Linked DNA regions of Lonchura striata. The protein of the gene in region 1 purifies or fractionates together with the protein of each later gene. This does not show direct contact. Links are inferred from orthologs where the notes say so. Each region holds a gene or a part of one and is shown on either strand. Other genes may lie near its edges. The genes, in order: RSU1 and PARVA.

Region 1 (8,780 bases):
CCATCATTCCACAAACATATGAAACTTTATAACAGCTGAGCAGATATTCTAGTTAACATAAAATGTAGAAAAAACAAAGCAGACAAAAGGGACAAGCTATAAAATACAACCCAAAATCCTCAGGTAGCAACTTAGAAAAAGAGAAACCAGTGAAGTCCCACTGGCCAACAGAATGAGATGTAAGCCAGCATTTTATAACTGTCCAAGGACTAAGAAAAACAGCCTATGCACAGTGATACTCCTGCTAACTTCTATGCTAAGTGTAACATAGAAAAATCAGAAATATGTATATTGGGATGAAATTGGGAGGCAGTTATGTCCTACTGAACTGCTAGCAAAACAGAAAGTTCCTCTAATAAGGGAAGACATAAAAGACCATATAATCAAATTAAATATTTTCAGATTAGTAGCCCAGAAAACTTTTACTGAGAGTCCACTCAAACTGCCACTGTACTTGCAGTCAAAGGATGATGCAATATTGTTTATTAAAACTCCCTACAGGGGATAGCAAACAGTAAAGGAACATCTGAAATGTCTGAAGATAAAGCCACAAAATAAATTTTAAAACAGCAATGTTTAAGAAACTTCAAGTACAACCAAGCATGGATTGAGTGGTTTGCCTGCAGTGATAAGGAGGACTGCATTTCTCCTCTGTGGAACATGGCATCACAGGCTTCATGAATGTCCATTGTGGCTTTGACCTTCCTATGAATCACCATGGATTTGGTGCAGTTGGTTCACCACATCTGCAGCTGGAAGAGAATCTCCTCAAGATCTGGATGCTGTCACTTGCTGCTAGGTGGCTGGACATGGAAACATCAGATTTTAGGCAAGAATCAGCTTGCAAGAATGTTGTCATTTTCTGCACTTCACCCAGAGCACAGTTCAGCTGGAAGCCACACATGAAAGGGAAGGATATGTCCCTCCAAACAGCTCTGTGCCACTGCACCAGTGTTCTGTGATACGGTCTTGGCTCCTGCTAAAAGTGCATCAGCCCTGTCAGAAATGAGTTCTCAAGTTAAACACTGGCCTTTTTGCAGGTGTGACAGATTATAAACTGACAAACAGAAACCTGTACATGGTTTTAATGAATGAAGGTCATTAGTGGCTTTTGGACACCAAGTTGCCCAAGGACACAGCAGTCCCTGAGCTCATGGCACTGAGGGCTCCTGCTGACCCAGGGACTGGTACAGAGATGTGCTCTGGTGACCTGACATGTGCCTGAGGCCACTCTGGTAACACAACCCTTGCCCTTGAGGTCTTGAGGGGAAATCCAGCTAAACTGGTGAGTTTGCTGAAATCTGTACTTCAGAAAGGCTGCTTTCACAAAGCATGTTTCACTTTAAAGCAATTAAATGCTTTTGGACATTTTTTATATGATAAATACTTGCTGTTGTTAAGATCTGTCACATCATCAAATTTTATAAAATCATTGAAATTCTGCAGAAGAAAAAAGAACAAAGAGCACTATGAATGAGAGGAAGAGAATTTTTAAAGGTTTTTTTAAAATCTAGCAATAACTAACTAATGCTTGGTGCATCTTTAAATGTTGGAAATACTCAATACCTATGCATAATTTTATTTACAAATGAGCAAATGCATGAGGCTATTTAGAGGGAAAAACAAAAAAGCCCAGCAGAGAATGTGCTCATGAAGTCTGTTGAATGAAGCTGCTGGTACAAGGTTTAATTGATCCAGCCCAACTGACTCTTGCCAAAAATAGTCAAAGTCTAAAATTAAATTATCAAACCCATTCTTTAAAAAAACAAAGGAAGAAAGTAACCACTGCAGTCCTCTAACATTTTATACGAGGAACCACAACAAAAATACCAACTGCAGAAGTATTAAAGTGGAGGTCCTTAGAGGAGAGAGCTGATGCTAAGCCATGTTTCTATCTTGGAAGGTAAGGAAAACTTGCTTGAAAATGAATGCACGGCAAACACAAACAAGCAGAACCAAACAGATAATCTGGAAATAATTATTCCATGAAACTTCTATGTGCTTTTTGCAGTGTACAATTCAAAAGACAAAATCTGTACTTAGTAAGAAATATCATTTCATCTCACAATACTGCCATGAAAACCTTTGCTTTTATGTCTGTGCACATTGCTATTTTATAAGGTCATTGTTGTGAATGCTGCACGTCTGTACTGTAATAACTGCATGACTACAACCTCCCTCTGTCAATGACAAAGCAAATAATGAAAGTGCAGGTTTTCAGTTTCTGGAGCCTGCATGTTTTTATTTTACATGGAAAGCTTCTTCTGCATGTTACTACAGATGTTTATTATTATACAAAAGTAATTTTAGATGCAGTTATATATGAATGGTAAGCCTCCAAAGACTAGGATTTGAAGAATAAGCACTACACTGTCTGTAACAATGTTTTTAATTGCCCTTCCCATGTGGCAGGACTGTTCTTTATAAATGAGAAATAATACCACAATGAGATATTCTTACAATAATAGTTACATAAGTAAAGGTGACAGAAGATAGAGAGCTAAAATGATAGAAACCATGGTGCTGTCAATTTAAAAGAGTAGATTATTTTAGTTAAATTTACAAAGCAATTTTGACTGAAAACCAGTTTTCAATTGTTTCATTAAGCAAAGGAGGAGGTGTCTCAATTTCCCATAGTAACATAGGATATGTGTCCTAGGCACCAGAATTAACATATTTGGTGTAATTACTTTTTGTCAACTGCCAAACTGAAACTGCAGAAATATTCTGCAGTCCTAATTAAAATGAAAGGCAATAAAAATTCATGGGATTGACTATATTGTTCCCAATACAAAACAACCGGATTAATAACAAATATATGTTTAAAATATTTATTAAATGACAATAAAAATAGAGGCCAGATTCTAGGAAGTTTTTTTACAGCAATCAGAAAAATAAATATTGCATGCAAGTTATCACACTTAGTGAGTCTAATGTTGATGGATAATCTGTAGTAGCAGTGCCCAGCACTACACAACTGGTTTTGCAGGGGCATGTTGCTGTTGCATCCTTTTGATGACACACATCCTTGCATTAATGTTGCTCATTATCATAGCTTTTCTTGAAGGGAGAAAACAGATAAAAATAGAATAATAATTTAAATGTCATTTCCCTGGTTAGTATAAGTACCTAAGACAGAAACAAGGGAGGCATCAGAGCTACTCATTCCCTTGCTGATCCCCAGCACAGTGAGAGGAACCAGCAGGAGGCAGGTCCAGCCATCACTGCCGGGGCAGAGCAGGCTGGGAGCATCACTGCAGGGGCAGCTTCTGCCTCCTCCAGCCCCCACAGGGGAAACTGCAGCTCTGCCACACAGTCATGGCCATACACCTACTCACTGTCACCTGCTTTAGCCTGCAGGCCTAAGGACAGAAGCCAGCCCCTGCAACGAATTCAGGCACCTGCTCTACAGATATTTAAGCCATATGACGGATTTAGAACAGATCTGACAGATATCAAAGCCATTTTATAGTTGTTTCATAAGCAAAAAATCAGTAGCTGGAAGGTACAGCAAGACCTAAATTGGAGAAGTCTCTACTGTGAGCTCAAGCACTGAATGTGTGGGGAGGGCTCTACTGGCCAGTCCGTAGGAACAGGCTGGCCAGCCTCTAGCTGGGGGTAGAGAGGAGCCAAATATTTCTGGGACCAAAGGGGTTTTGGAATGACTGCACATACTGGGAAGAGGAGGGGGGCATAAGAGAGGGGAGAATGGGTGACTGCAGTGACACAGACCCTCTATGGGAAATGACTCTTCATGACCAATCTGAAAAATCAGTTTTCAGGATCAAGGACCTTTGGATAGAGTTGCTTGTGTATCTTCCTTCACACTCCTTCTCAGACAATAGTATTCACTGCTTGATGAGACACTGAGAAACTTTAAAAGGAAGGCTTGAGAGCAACTCCCTTTGCCAAATCTAATGCCAATATCCCTGACTGGGGCATGGATTCATGCTCAGAAAAAAGGTTTGCTCAAGCAGGACAGAAAGAAGGTCACATAGAAGCTGTGAATGATAGACGAACTCTACACAACATGATAATGAAATTAGATAGATGGCAAAAAAACCCCACAATCCTGATGAAAGGGAGTAATGACAATATGTTCATTAAGTGGGGAGTAATTAAATACTTCTATGGTAGGAGCAGAACGTGGCTATCTAGGTCACATGCAATGTTTTGATCACTGCAAAAATGGAGTAGAGAAAAGCCAGGTGAGCTTTTTGTTAGCCATGAAGATTGTTTTGTAAGTGTCTTGTTAGAGTCACATGTGCTGGTAGTTGGAATAAAGGAGCAGATTTAGAGCACATTTACAGATAACTAATCTGCCTGAGCCTTTGTTACTAAATGACACCTACAATCATTTGCATGAAATAAGAACAGCAGACATGTTAGCATTTAGGTCTTTGGGACAACTGACTGGTAGCAGTTAGGGCATTTTCTTAGATGGGAAAGGGATCCAGATTCATGGTTGTGCAGACAAAAGAAGAACTGTACATCGTCATCCTGTACATCTGAGTGACAGTGGGTTCTGCTGAGAAATCCAGCTAAAAGGAAGATACTCTTCAGTAGTGCCTTGTAAGGAAGACCTGAAAACAGTCAGTAACTTTAGGAAACACTCAAGGTAGGAAACTCCAATTAGGAATAAACATGCTACAGTTCTGCAGACCAGATCCTTACATTCCTAAAAAAGGTGAACTTGAAGTTGTGCCTTCATAAAGTTTTTTTATTTGCTGTCTTATGCAAATGCTCATCTTCTTGGTTTTTGTGGATACCATTTTTAGGCTACTAAGTAACACGATGGAGTACATATGCAAAATTCAAAGCTGTGGTTCTCAATGGGTAGCCTGGCCTTAGGTAACTTAATAGATTTAGTCATTAACTGCTCTGAGCTTCCGTATCTGCTGAATGACAGTAAGTAGGAGCACCTTAAATCCTGTGAAAGAGATTACATGGATAACTACAACGCCACAGCATCTCTACTACCGGTCGAGACGGGTTACGAGCGCTCAGGACGTGGACCCAGCCTTGTGACTGGTTTTGCTGCTAGAGCCGACTGGAAAACCCAGGAAGTCACCTGAAAAAATGGGCACCGCTGGTTAAACGCAGCGGGATTTTTTTGCTGTGGGTTATTTTGGCGATAATGCGCTCCGTCCCGGCCGCCTCCCCAAGCCCCGGAGCGCTCCGGGAATCCCGCCCCGGCCCTGGCGCCGGTCAGCGCGGGCGGGGCTGCGCTGCGCCTGCGCGCGGGGCGGGGCGGGGCGCCCGGGATCCGCCGGCCCGCCCGTCCCGCCGCCGATCCGCCCGCTGCCCCGCCGCTTCCCATCGCCTCCCATCGCCTCCCGCCGCCTCCCGCCGCAGCGCCGCGCGGTGAGTGCCCTCGGACAGGGCCGGGCCTGTTGCCCGCCCGGGGCGGGCGTGCGGCCGGCATCCCGGGCAGTGCCCCGCTGCCATGGGCGGGCGCGGCGGCCGGGACGGGACGGGGCCCCCGGCGGGCTGGGCAGGGGGTTCTCTGCGCTCGCGGCCGGCGCTGTCCCGGGTTGGAGCCTCGGCGGGTTTCCCCCGCCCCCGGCTCACTCTGTCCGTTTCTGCCCCGCCTAGACCATGTCCAAGTCCCTGAAGAAGATCGTGGAGGAGAGCAGGGAGAAGAACCAGCCCGAGGTGGACATGTGCGACCGCGGCATCTCCAGCATGCTGGACGTGCCCGGCCTGTGTAGGTACCGGCGGCGGCGGGCGGGCACGGCGCGGAAACTTCCTTATTTGTCCCGGGCGAGCGGGGCCCGGCCTGGGCGCGCCCGGCGCTGCCCCGCTGGGACCGGGACTCCGCGGGGCGGGGCGGCCTTTGGGCACCGGGCTTGGGGGGAGATCCGCGGGCTGACCAAACCCCCGCGCCCGGCTGCCGGCAGCACCGCCAGGAGCCGCCCGTGTGCGTCCGGGGCAGCCCCGCACGGGCTCGGCGTTCCCTGTCACATTGCTGGCGTTCTGTCGGTCGGGAGACTTTCCCTCTTCTCGTCCTGCTACCGAAACAAAACCATCGGCTAAGTAGATCTCCACTGGGTCTTTAAAGGGATAGGGTGACAGCCTGCAACTACGGGCGACTGGTCTCTGAAGAGAGGGCAGTAATACTGTATCACACATACGGCAGCATCGTGCTTTGGATGATATACGATTGCACATGCTTGCTGAACCATGACAGGGTGCTGCTGTCGGTACGGTGCATTTACTATAGTTAAATTCACAGCAAATACAGCATACCAATAGCAACATGCTGTTACAGTTCTGGAGAACACATAAATGAAGAGCAGCTTAGGTGTCTTGCCTTGCTAAATTGCACATGATGTTATGACTTAGCCAATACTCTGGGAATTAAAGTTGTGACTGTCTGTAGTGTGCCACAGGCTGACATTTTTCTGAATGCATGATCCAATGAGAGGAAAAAAAGCAAAATCTCAACCAACCAATGTACTTAAAATTCTTGACTGTATCCTGTTTTAGCTCTTTACTGTGTTTGTTAAACTTGAGAGCGGTCAGGAGCAAATGTACATAACTCTTCTCGCAAGATAGATATGAGCTCAGGGAAAGGTATGGCTCACTACCAGCTCGCCATTATCTGCAGAGTTGAGAGCACATCAAGGTGTCTTCACACCTTATCTTCCCATCAGTAAAGGATGAAGTCTTAAGTACAGTTTTGCAGAACTAGGTTCTGTACTTAAAGTCTACATTCTGTACTACTGTTCTGCTTCTGTGTGTTGCGTGGGCCTGTGGGAAGATGGTGTTGTAAGGACCACATATGTGAATTCACATTAAATAGAAAATTTAACAGAGTACTGTTGCTTTTGTTAAGTAGACTTGGTGCCTACTATCAACACTAGATAGGTAATTAATTAACTAGTTTTGATCTTTTAAAGTGTGAAAAAAGGATAATGTTGAAGCACATTGATAATCCTAAAAAAAAAAAAAAAGCTTTTCTTGCACAAAGAGTCTTTGGGGTTTGTTGTTCAGGCAGGGCCAGGGACCAGGGTAGGGCAGTGTGGTCCCCAGATGCTCCCTGATACCAGGTTGCTAATTAAGCATCTGAAATGTCTTTGGCAGAGAGCTCTCTACGTGAAGTATAGACTTTGGTACCCTACTTACACTGCATCAGAGGAGTCTCTGCACAGATACTCTTGGTGCACATTGTGTGACTTGATCTAGCATGGGGATTTGGAGCCTTCAATTTGAGATGAAAGATAGGGAGGGGAGAAATGATGACTGGTTTCTGTTAAATTAATTGCTTTTTCAGTTATTATATTCACGGACAGAACACAGAAGTTGCTTTGTTTTTTTTTTTACCATGGAGGTATTTGCCTTCAGGAGAAGGAACACCTTTCATCAAATAAAAAGTAACGAATAGCTATTACTTCTGAATTTTTAGTAAAGGGTTGAGGAAGTGTTGAACTTGTTTTCGAACCTTGTCACCTGACTCCAAATAGATGGTCTTCTCTAATGTAGATTGGATGTTTTGGTTTTCTCTGCCTCTCAGAACTGGTGTGTAAGCTAAAGTAGACTGACCTAGTACCTTTCCTTCTCTGTGTGTTACATACCTTTTCAGGGCAGTGTTAAAGCTTGCCTTTTCAGGTATTTTTATTTTTTTCCTTCCATGAAGTAAAGGTCTCTATTAAAAGCAGTCATCACTATTCATGCCCAGTGACTCTTCTTGCACATAATTTCATCTTTAAGGAGGGCCACTAGTAGATGTTGAGAGTTAAGTTTAGATAATGATTGGAGGGAACAGTTTTGGCTATTTGAGTTTTGTAGGTTGGAAGGTATGCCGGAGTTACTGTGTTCAGTAGCCCCTGATCAGCATTTTGTCTCATGTAATTATATAGTGGTTATGAATACCCCTACCAGAGGTGCTAAGTACCTTTTAAAGGTAAACTGCTCCTTCTAGTCCTAAATCTCCAAGGAAAGGACTAAGCCTTGTCTCACTGCATGTTTGAGAACTTGCTGCAGAGCGGCTAATGAGCTTGTATTTAACCTTTCTTAACTTAATTCACATAGGGGTAATACAGGCACAAGGATTTGGAAGCAGTGTACCATGTAACATCTGTTCAGTGTGCCAGTCCTTTTCCTTAGGTGTCACCCTGTTCTTGTCATGTGTGTTTAGGAAATAAAAAAGAAAAGTAAGTGATAGAGAAAAGTGGTGTTATGTGGTGACAAAGAAGAGCAAAGGAGAATATATGCCCTATCTTGGATACAGTTCTCTTCTGGCTTCTGTTTTCAGTCTAGGCTTCCTGCAGTACAGGGCAGTCAGTCATACTTTCTTTTGCATTGTCTTCCATCCTCTGCAGTAGCTGTAGGAGAGAAAAAACAGACAAAATTTGGCTTCTGTCAAATACCAGTGTGTCTTTCCAATTAAGAATGAAATACTTCTATCTGGAAGGAGATTGGCAAGCTACCTTAGACCCACAAGCTTGGCAACCTTTACATCTCTTCCCACTTTCATGTTTGGCAGAGAAAGAGTATGGTTACCAGCTTATATACAACGTGAAGTTCAGATTCAAAAAAAAAAGTTAAGTAGTCCCTGAAGCACTTCTAACTCAGGAGTTCATTAATGTCATTAGAAGTAGAGTTCTATTTTTGGAATATTCCTCGAATCCAGACACTTCCATGTTTTCTCCTAGTGACTTAAAATACAAAGTAGAATTGTGTTATGCACCTTCAGAGTGTCTGGATTTTTATGCTTTCAGAACTGTAATAGGAGAGCCCTTTTTCAGATGTGTTGTGTAGAAAATAAATTTCATTTG
Region 2 (8,567 bases), on another chromosome or scaffold:
TAGACTGTTTTCTTCCTTGCTTGAGCAAGGAACAGGATGTGGCACAGCAGATTGGAGACTTTGCTGCTGTTAAGATCTAGAGCTGTCCCTGCTGGGCTTTGCATGGACTGCAATTTTTGGCATTGTTTAGCACAATGGGTTTGCTGTGGTTGCAAATCCTGTTCTTTCAGTCATCTCAGGAGCTTGATTCCTGCCAAATACTTAATGATGGGCAAGGTATTTGCTGGACTTCACCCAGATCTCTTTGCCCGATATTTATGAGAAAAATTGTGGTTTCTTCTGTTGTTTCTAATGAACTGTGAAGAGACCTGATGGCTCTGCATGCTGGTATTGTGCTTGCTGGAATATTCACATAACACACCTGTACATAACTACAGGCCCAAACGAAGGGTACAACTGAAGCTTATTAAGAAAAAAAAAATCATAATACTGATTTTTTTCCTAAAACTGTCTCAAGAAGGACAGTTGTAAATGCAAGTATGCTTGGCCCAGTTTTTGTAAGTAATTAATTGATGTAACCTCATGGTACCAAAACATGTGAATACCAGGATGACATTGCCATTTTACCAAAAAGTTTTAAACCCACTTTCTTTCCTCTGAAGCTTTCAAATCATTTATTTCTGTAGCTGTATACAACATGTTATCTTTAATCTTTCATGTACATTTTTCTTTATCACATCTTAGTCTATCTGTTTTGCTCCCTGATGTACAACAAAACTTCATTGTATGTTTTAAGAATCTATTTGGAAATACTCTATTACTTTTAGAAAACCATCTTATTTTGTTATATTATTTAAACAGAATATTCTTTTACCAAAGAAGTTAGAGTAGAAATCATAGCTGTGCTTTAAATTCCAGCATATGAATATGTCCAAACCTTAACTTTGTGAGCTGGAAAGAAATTTATCCTCAAGTGTGAGTTTTAGGTGATGCTGGCAATGAAAATTTGGAGCCCTTTTATCCTTAATACGATGCTTTCTGCTGTTCTAATGTTCTAAAACAGCTTCTCTGCTCAGCAGGCTCCTTTACTGTGCTATTAACTATTAGTCAGGGAGGGGTGGGCACATTCAGCAATTCACCACACAGGGCTGGCAGGCCAGCACAAGTGCTTAGGAAAATAAAATGTGTAGACTTTGCTCTAGTTCTCCTCTTCCTGAAAGTCAGCAAAGGGTGTTCCTGTAGGCAATCACAGCAGTAGCAGCAAGTTGATAAATCACTTTTAAGAATTCCACTTCTGTTCTTTAAATGACTGAATGGTCAAAAGGCTGGAGCAGAGAAAAATGTTAGGGGAATACTCTAAGGCAAGTGGATGATTTATTGCACAGTTTTAACCATACTGGCTGCTCTTTCTTGCTAGCCAAGCCCGTGGTTTGGATATTATACACCTTGCTTTTCTGTTTCATTGGAAAGTAAAACTCTGCTCCTGAGCATTCTGAGTCTCATATTAAAAGAAATAAAAAACAGCTGTGCATGGACAGATACGCAGGTGAGTAAGAATTATTTGAAGGGTGGAGGGGAGGGGACATAGCCACCTTTTATTGCCTGGCAAAAGTACATATGTGAGCAGGATACAATTAATTTGATGTAATGTTTGGCTTATCTGGCTAAACAAGGCGCTGACAGGGAGTGTGGTGAGAGCTGTCATGGTCTGCTTCACATTTCTCTATGCCAGGTGCAGCAGGGCCAGCCTGAGCAGCAGCCTGCTCACTGCTGTGTTCTGTGCTGGGCTCGTGGAGCATGATCCTGGAAGTATTCTATTGTCAAATATAGAGCAGAGCAAACTCCATCCCCACAGCTGCCATAACTCAGACCTCGAGAATACCTATAAAGCCTTTTGTGATGAATGCAATATTAATTTAAGGCCATAACTTAGATCTTGTGTATATCTATAAAACTTTTTGTGATGAATGCAACATTAATTTAAGGCTATACGTTAATATATATTCCCACATAACAAGAAAAAAAAAAAAAAAAAGGTAGCCTATGTAATTCTAAATGTAAGATACAGGGGGAAAATGTTGTAATTATCCTCAAAGTGAAATATCACAACTGGAAAAATACTGCAGTAATGTTACACACAATGAACTGCACATAAATCCTGCAAGAAATCCCAAAATCAAAACTGTAAACTTAGGGTCTGGCTGTTGCTTTAGCATCTTACTTAAAGCACACAGTATTTAAGTTTCCTGATGTGATAAAGTTAATCTTAAACACATTGTTTCATTTCATTTTTTTCCCCTTGTGATGTCAAGCTCCCATAGTTCATGAGGCTATTAAAGAAGTAATACTGTATTTATCATTAATTTACATATACTCAGTGTTGAGAAATAGGAAAGATTCTGTGCCTTCTTAAGAGTTTTGTGAGGGACTTGGCAAGTGCATATTGAATTCTGACTACCCTGTACTGCACAGGCTCTTTATGAAGTATCTGGCTTGTTCCTTCTCTATTTACCACAAACACAGGGGTACTTGTGCTTACCAAAATGTTCCCTCTTCTGCTGTGGCCACAAAATCCTGTATTGACATCCATGTATAGTCATTTGGCTCCAAATGGAGATTCAGCTGGGTCACTGCTCTGTTTGTAAATGTCACAGATTTACAGACATATTTTTACAAGTGCTTACTGTGTGTATTTCTCCTTTTGAAGCTTTTATTATGTTCTTAAAAATGATACATACACTGTATAAGCAGGACTTCTGTATAAGGAGAATAATGTGTGAAATTCAGGCTGAAATTCATAGACAAGAGGCCTGAGACAATAACTGGTGCTAGAACCAGAGAGAAAATGTAAGGAAAGGATTGTGCTAAGGCTTGGGCTCATTCCTGCTGATAACTGATGGCAGGATGGATGAATAGAGTTTTTTTCCAGGGCACATACTAACTGCATGCAATAAACAGAGATTGATGTCTGCCCCTCATCAGCTAACCAATGTTACCAGCTCATAAAAACACAACAATTATTAGCTGATTTAGAAATATCCTCATGGTAATTTCATTTCACTTATTATGCCTAATGGATAGCTAGATATTTGCATGAAGTGTGTGTGGCTTTTTGCCTGAATTGTTAATCAAGTGATTAAGTGGTAAGTGAAAGTAGTGCATCCAGATGACATTAATGCTGTTCCACTCCTGGATGCCTCCTGAACCAGTCACAGCAAATTATCTGTTTTAAACCTCCCATAAGCTGCTCATCTGCAAATCAAAGCAGGGTTGGTATAGGCAATCTATCATGTTAAGTCACCTTTCCTTCCACAGGCTTTTTATACTGGTCTGACTACAACAGTTGTTTTGTTTTGTGGGAGTGGATATGATGATGCCCACAGCTTCTCACCACAGACACAGCTGAAGACTGCAGGCAGAAGAGCTTTCCAAAATGTTATCCAGACTGAAATGTATGTAGTAAGCTTGAATTTGCAGGAAACTATTCAGTGACATTTTATTACTTCATAAGTTCTTTTGTGTGTCCAGGTCTGGCGCCTCCAACACAAGAGAGATGAGCTTGATGGAGCATGTCTAGAGGAGGCTACCAAGGTGCTTAGAGGGCTGGAACACCTCTCCCATGAACACAGGTTGAGAAAGTTGGGGTTGTTCAGCCTGGAGAATGCTTCAAGGAGACCTAGCAGCCTTCCTGTACCTAAAGGGGGGGTTACAGGACAGCTGGAGAGGGATTTCTTGCAAGGGCAGGTATTGTAAATGCAGGAGAACCCAATGGGAAGAAATGACGATGTCTGACTCAGTTCTGAAGGCTGAATTATTTCTTTATTATAACTATGCTAAAATACATCAATATACTATATAAAAGGAGGATACTAAAACTACATACTACTTTCTCTGACTCTTAACACAACTCATGACCCTCTCTGAGAGCCCAGCCCCAGGTGGGTTGGATTGGCCATCAGGCTCAAACAATCCTCACCTGAATCCAACCAAGCACTCACCCCAGGTAAACAATTCTCCACACACATTCCACATAGGAAAAACAAGGAACAGAAATTGTTTTCTCTTTCATTTCTCTCTGTGCACCTCTATGAAAATCCTGAGAGGGAGATAAATGTGCTTGCCCCAGGCAGGTAGTGACAGAAAACGAAGAAATAGTCTTAAGCTGAAGAAGTGAAGATGTTTAGACAAGATATTAAGAAAAATCTCTTTGTTGGGAGGGAGGGTGGTGAGGCTCTGGAACAAGCTCTCCAGAGAAGCTTTGGCTATTCCATCCCTGGAAGCATTCAAGGCCGGGTTAAATGGAACTTTGAACAATCAAGTCTAATTGTAGGTGTCCCTGCCTATGGCACTGTGTTGGAAACTAGATTTTCTTTAAGACCCCTTCCAACCCGGACCGCGATTCCATTTTTCTGTGGGTGCTGAGCACAGAACGTAGCTGCGACTCCATCCTTCCGGCCCTTCCCCTTGGGGTAGCCGAGGATGAGCGGCACGGTGTCCGTATCCACCTTTCCCTTTCGGCACGCTACCCGGCACCCAGCCGGGCCACTCACCCACCCAGCCCAGGGGTGGAGGATGGAGCGGGGGGCGAGGCGCCGGGCCCCCGCACAGCGAGCGAGCCGCGGCGGGGAGCGCAGCGCGGCTCCCGCACCGCCCGCGGCCACCGGCAGCCGGGCGAGGCGAGCGGGCCCTCCCCGGCGGGAGGGAGGGCGGGCGGAGGGAGGGAAGGAGCGGGAGAGCCGGGAGAGCGGAGCAGGAGCTGCCTCAAATGCTTGAAATAATTCCGCTTCCGTTCAGAGCCGGGAGCAGCCTCCCACGGCACCGCGGCCTCGGAGCCGCCCGCTCCGTCCCCAGCGCCGGCGGCTGGCCCAGCATGGCCACCTCCCCGCAGAAATCCCCTTCGTCCCCCAAGTCCCCCACCCCCAAATCGCCCCCCTCCAGAAAGAAGGATGACTCCTTCCTGGGCAAGCTCGGCGGCACGCTGGCCAGGAGGAAAAAAGCGAAAGAAGGTAAAAATTAACGACGGGCTTGCACGTTTCCTGGGAGTTACCTTGCTGTGGGGGGGGAGGAGACAGGGGGAGAGGAAAAGCTCTGGGGAGCGGGAGGAAGGGGCTGGCGGGGAAGGACGTGCGGAGCGCGGTGGGCAGGCGAGGGAGGAGCCGCCCCGGCCCCGCCGCTCCCGGGGCCGCTCCCGGGGCCGCTCCCGGGGCCGCTCCCGGGGCCGCTCCCGGGGCCGCTCCCGGGGCCGCTCCCGGGGCCGCTCCCGGGGCCGCTCCCGGGGCCGCTCCCGGGGCCGCTCCCGGGGCCGCTCCCGGGGCCGCTCCGAGTCTGTGTCCAGTGTCTGTGTGCGGGCCCGGCCGGGGAAGGAAGGAATGAAGGAAGGAAGGAGCGCTGCCCGCAGCGGGCCGGGCGGCCGGCGGGCCCCGCAGGCCTGGGAGCGCCCGGGGATGGGTTTTCCCTGGGAGCGCCCGGGGATGGGTTTTCCCTGGGAGCGCCCGGGGATGGGTTTTCCCTGGGAGCGCCCGGGGATGGGTTTTCCCTGGGAGCGCCCGGGGATGGGTTTTCCCTGGGGGCGCCCGGGGATGGGTTTTCCCTGGGCAGGATTTGTGTGCTGAGCCCTGTGTAACGCGGTGTGGTCAGCGCACGGCGCTCTGTGTGATGCACGCCGCTGGTGGGGATCCATAGCAGCGCTCGCGGGCAATGCAGGGATCCCTGTGCTGAGCAAAAGGCTTGCCTGGCCACAGCGAACCTTTACAGGACTCAGCATATACAACAGTCCGGTTCTTTGTCCGTACTTGTGAATTAATACCCGCCCCCCCGCTGAATTTTCCTATATGAAACCCCGTGAGAGAGACAGAATTGGAATTTAACCTTGCTCACCCATCGTTTTGACAGCTGAACTTGATTTAAATATGATGCAAATAGAGACAACATAACAGTCGCTTCAAAACAGGCTTTCTAGCAAAATTCATTGCTTGCCAGCGTGAAGAAGGGTGTGAGGCTCAGCACCCCTTGCTCCTCGTGTGCACATGGGCACTGAAGCCAGACACAGAGTGTTTTGGAGAAGCGCCAGGGCTGTGGACGAGAATGACATAACTTGGGAGCGTACAGCTCCTCATTCTCTTAACTATCACGTCATGTTTCTGTGATGTGCAGTCTTGCTTTTCGATTAAATCCATGTTGCACGATTGTGCTCACATTATTTGTCTTTTTCTGGTCATTTCAGATGGACCAGATGTTGATGAAATAGTAAAGAATTACAACTCAATTACCTATTTTTAAAAATTATCCTGTTAGAGTATTTATGACTATCAGCAGCACTGAGCTAGCAAAAATCTTCCTTGATGAGTCCATGTTGTAGGTATGTTTATAGAGACCTTTAAGCCTATTTGTGGCAGTTTGAGTATGTCCATTATATTGTCGTTAGTACTGTTTTTACTATTAAATACTTTTTTCCTTAGTGACAGATACCTGAAGTCAGAAATCTCCAGCAAACCTTCAGAGGCAGCAATTGCTTTTATCCACTATCTTGTAATCTTACAAAAAGATGTCTTCTGTGAAATCATACTTCTTATTAATGCATTACATGTATTGATTAAAACCTGCACCTGCCATTTCATTATCATGGTCTATGCTTTTGAAATTTGGAAACTGAATTGTCCTTGTCTTTTGCGTTTCCCAATTTTCTAAGGTCTATCTAAAAATAACTGGATTAGAGAGCTGGGGTTTTTTTTATTAACTTTGTAAGGACTGTTATTTGCTGATGGACGAAAATGTATTGTATTAATTTCACCTTAGTATCCTTTTTACTTGCCTGTATATTTTTGACATTTCTTTGGTAGAAGCGTATATAGAGGTGAAATTGATAGTATGCTATCTTATCTTTCTGTTTATTGATTTATGGGTTTTAACACATTCAGGTGGCTTCAGCCTTACTGTGAAGCCTGTCCTCTTTCTTAGTTCCTAATTTTTCTCTACTAAAAAGAAATACAAGTTTGCAAACTATTAATAAGCATTGTTCTTGCTGGCTGTGGCCCACGTAGCTTCCATCGTAAGTTGTGCTTATTGTTTTTGTAGGGCTCCAGGTGTTTTTGAAGCCTAGCTAGGAATTTCAGAGGTCAGATTGCGTGTTCGTCTAGGATCTGAGTTTTGGTGTTTTTTTCCTGTTTTAACCAAACTGTGGTAGGTTTCCTATGGAGGTGGGTCTTGGTCATAGAAGTGCAAGTGGTTATTCAACTGCTTATGCGCAGGATGTATAGGAAAATGTTCAGAATAACTCAGGATAAATGAGGGACAACTGAAAATTTGCATGTCTTTCAGTTGGTGTAAATTCTGCTGTTACACAGAGCACAGAAGCATATTGATTTCCTTCACTGTTTTACCACAAGGTCTAAGAACTGGTGGTTTTTAATAATGCAAAAATGTTTTGTCTTTTGTAGGGACTATGCTGGTTGCACTTTAGTACCATCTCTGCTGTATGTGTAGTTAACTGTTGTAGGCGATACACAATTACACATCTGTGAGTTTTGTATTTTTGTCATCAACAGGTGTTTTGATCATTGTCAGAACTACATTTTTGTATATTGCAACAACAGAGCCAAAATGCTTCACCAAATGAAAATCTTTTAGGCTCTGAAGTGACTTTATGATGAAGAGTAACGCAGATTATTTATGAAAAGAGTAAAGTTTATGTAGTTTTAGGTGTAAAATAGTTTATGATACAACATAAAATGCAGTTTCTGTATTGACATTAATTTATATGCATAAATATATATATAAAATATACAGCAAACATTTGCTTATGCATTTCAAAGTTCTTGGCAATGGTGGAGGTCCACCAGTGGAAGAGGTGAGGGTAGTCTAGACGAGTGAAATGAATTCTCTAATATCAGAGCACAAGTTATTGACCAAAAGAAAGAGAGTAACCTGAAATACTTGAGATATCACACATGATGTAAGCACGGATTAGTCATACCATAAGACATATGTTAATATGGCAAATACATTGCCATTAAATATTAGAGAATACTTGATAAAATCTGGAGGTTGGAGCTCAGATTTGTTTATGTTGTTGTCTGTCACGTAGAGCCGTAGTCTGGTTTTCATTTACAGCATCTCATCACCAGTGGTGTAATTCAAGGATGAGAACATTGTACTGTGGTCTTCCCTGTGAGAGCATCTGCAGCTACATCTTTAAATGGAGCATACATTCTGTTGAGGTAGCAAAATTACAAATTTTTAAGGATGTTTGGAATTAATTAAATTAGCTTTTTTAGGCACTGAGAGAATTGTGAACAAGGACTGGAATACTTGACAGCCTGTCTGCAAACTGAACTGCAGTATGCAAAAGTTATTAGTGGTTTTTAATAAGGTTCTGTCCCCTTCATTGCTGAAAGGCATTTAAAGACTGGCTATCCCATAAATGCTAGTCAGGCATCCCAGTCCTTATCTATCAGGAGTTCAGATACACGATGGAGCTCATCATATGAGCAGAAAAAAACCCCACAAATTAGATTTTTTGTAAGCTTGCTATAGTATTCTGTACTGTGTACTAAACATGTCTTTAAACGCATGTAAGAAGATAACAAAATGGCCTTTTTTTAAAAAGATGGGGAGGGGTGATTGTGTTA

Evidence for each region.
Region 2: the proteins of RSU1 (region 1) and PARVA purify together in Homo sapiens (affinity purification with mass spectrometry; 3 studies listed by BioGRID and IntAct, counting the BioPlex papers as one, with this or other methods). This does not show direct contact. The link is inferred for Lonchura striata from reciprocal best matches to the Homo sapiens genes RSU1 and PARVA.

Annotation. Positions count from the first base shown.
Region 1 is NC_134603.1:136,355,103-136,363,882, reverse strand, and holds the start of RSU1 (ras suppressor protein 1), read left to right. Parts: upstream 1-5,274; 5' UTR 5,275-5,364; intron 5,365-5,595; 5' UTR 5,596-5,598; coding exon 5,599-5,707; intron 5,708-8,780. UniProt on the Homo sapiens protein: Potentially plays a role in the Ras signal transduction pathway. Capable of suppressing v-Ras transformation in vitro.
Region 2 is NC_134608.1:58,363,213-58,371,779, forward strand, and holds the start of PARVA (alpha-parvin), read left to right. Parts: upstream 1-4,708; 5' UTR 4,709-4,810; coding exon 4,811-4,946; intron 4,947-8,567. UniProt on the Homo sapiens protein: Plays a role in sarcomere organization and in smooth muscle cell contraction. Required for normal development of the embryonic cardiovascular system, and for normal septation of the heart outflow tract.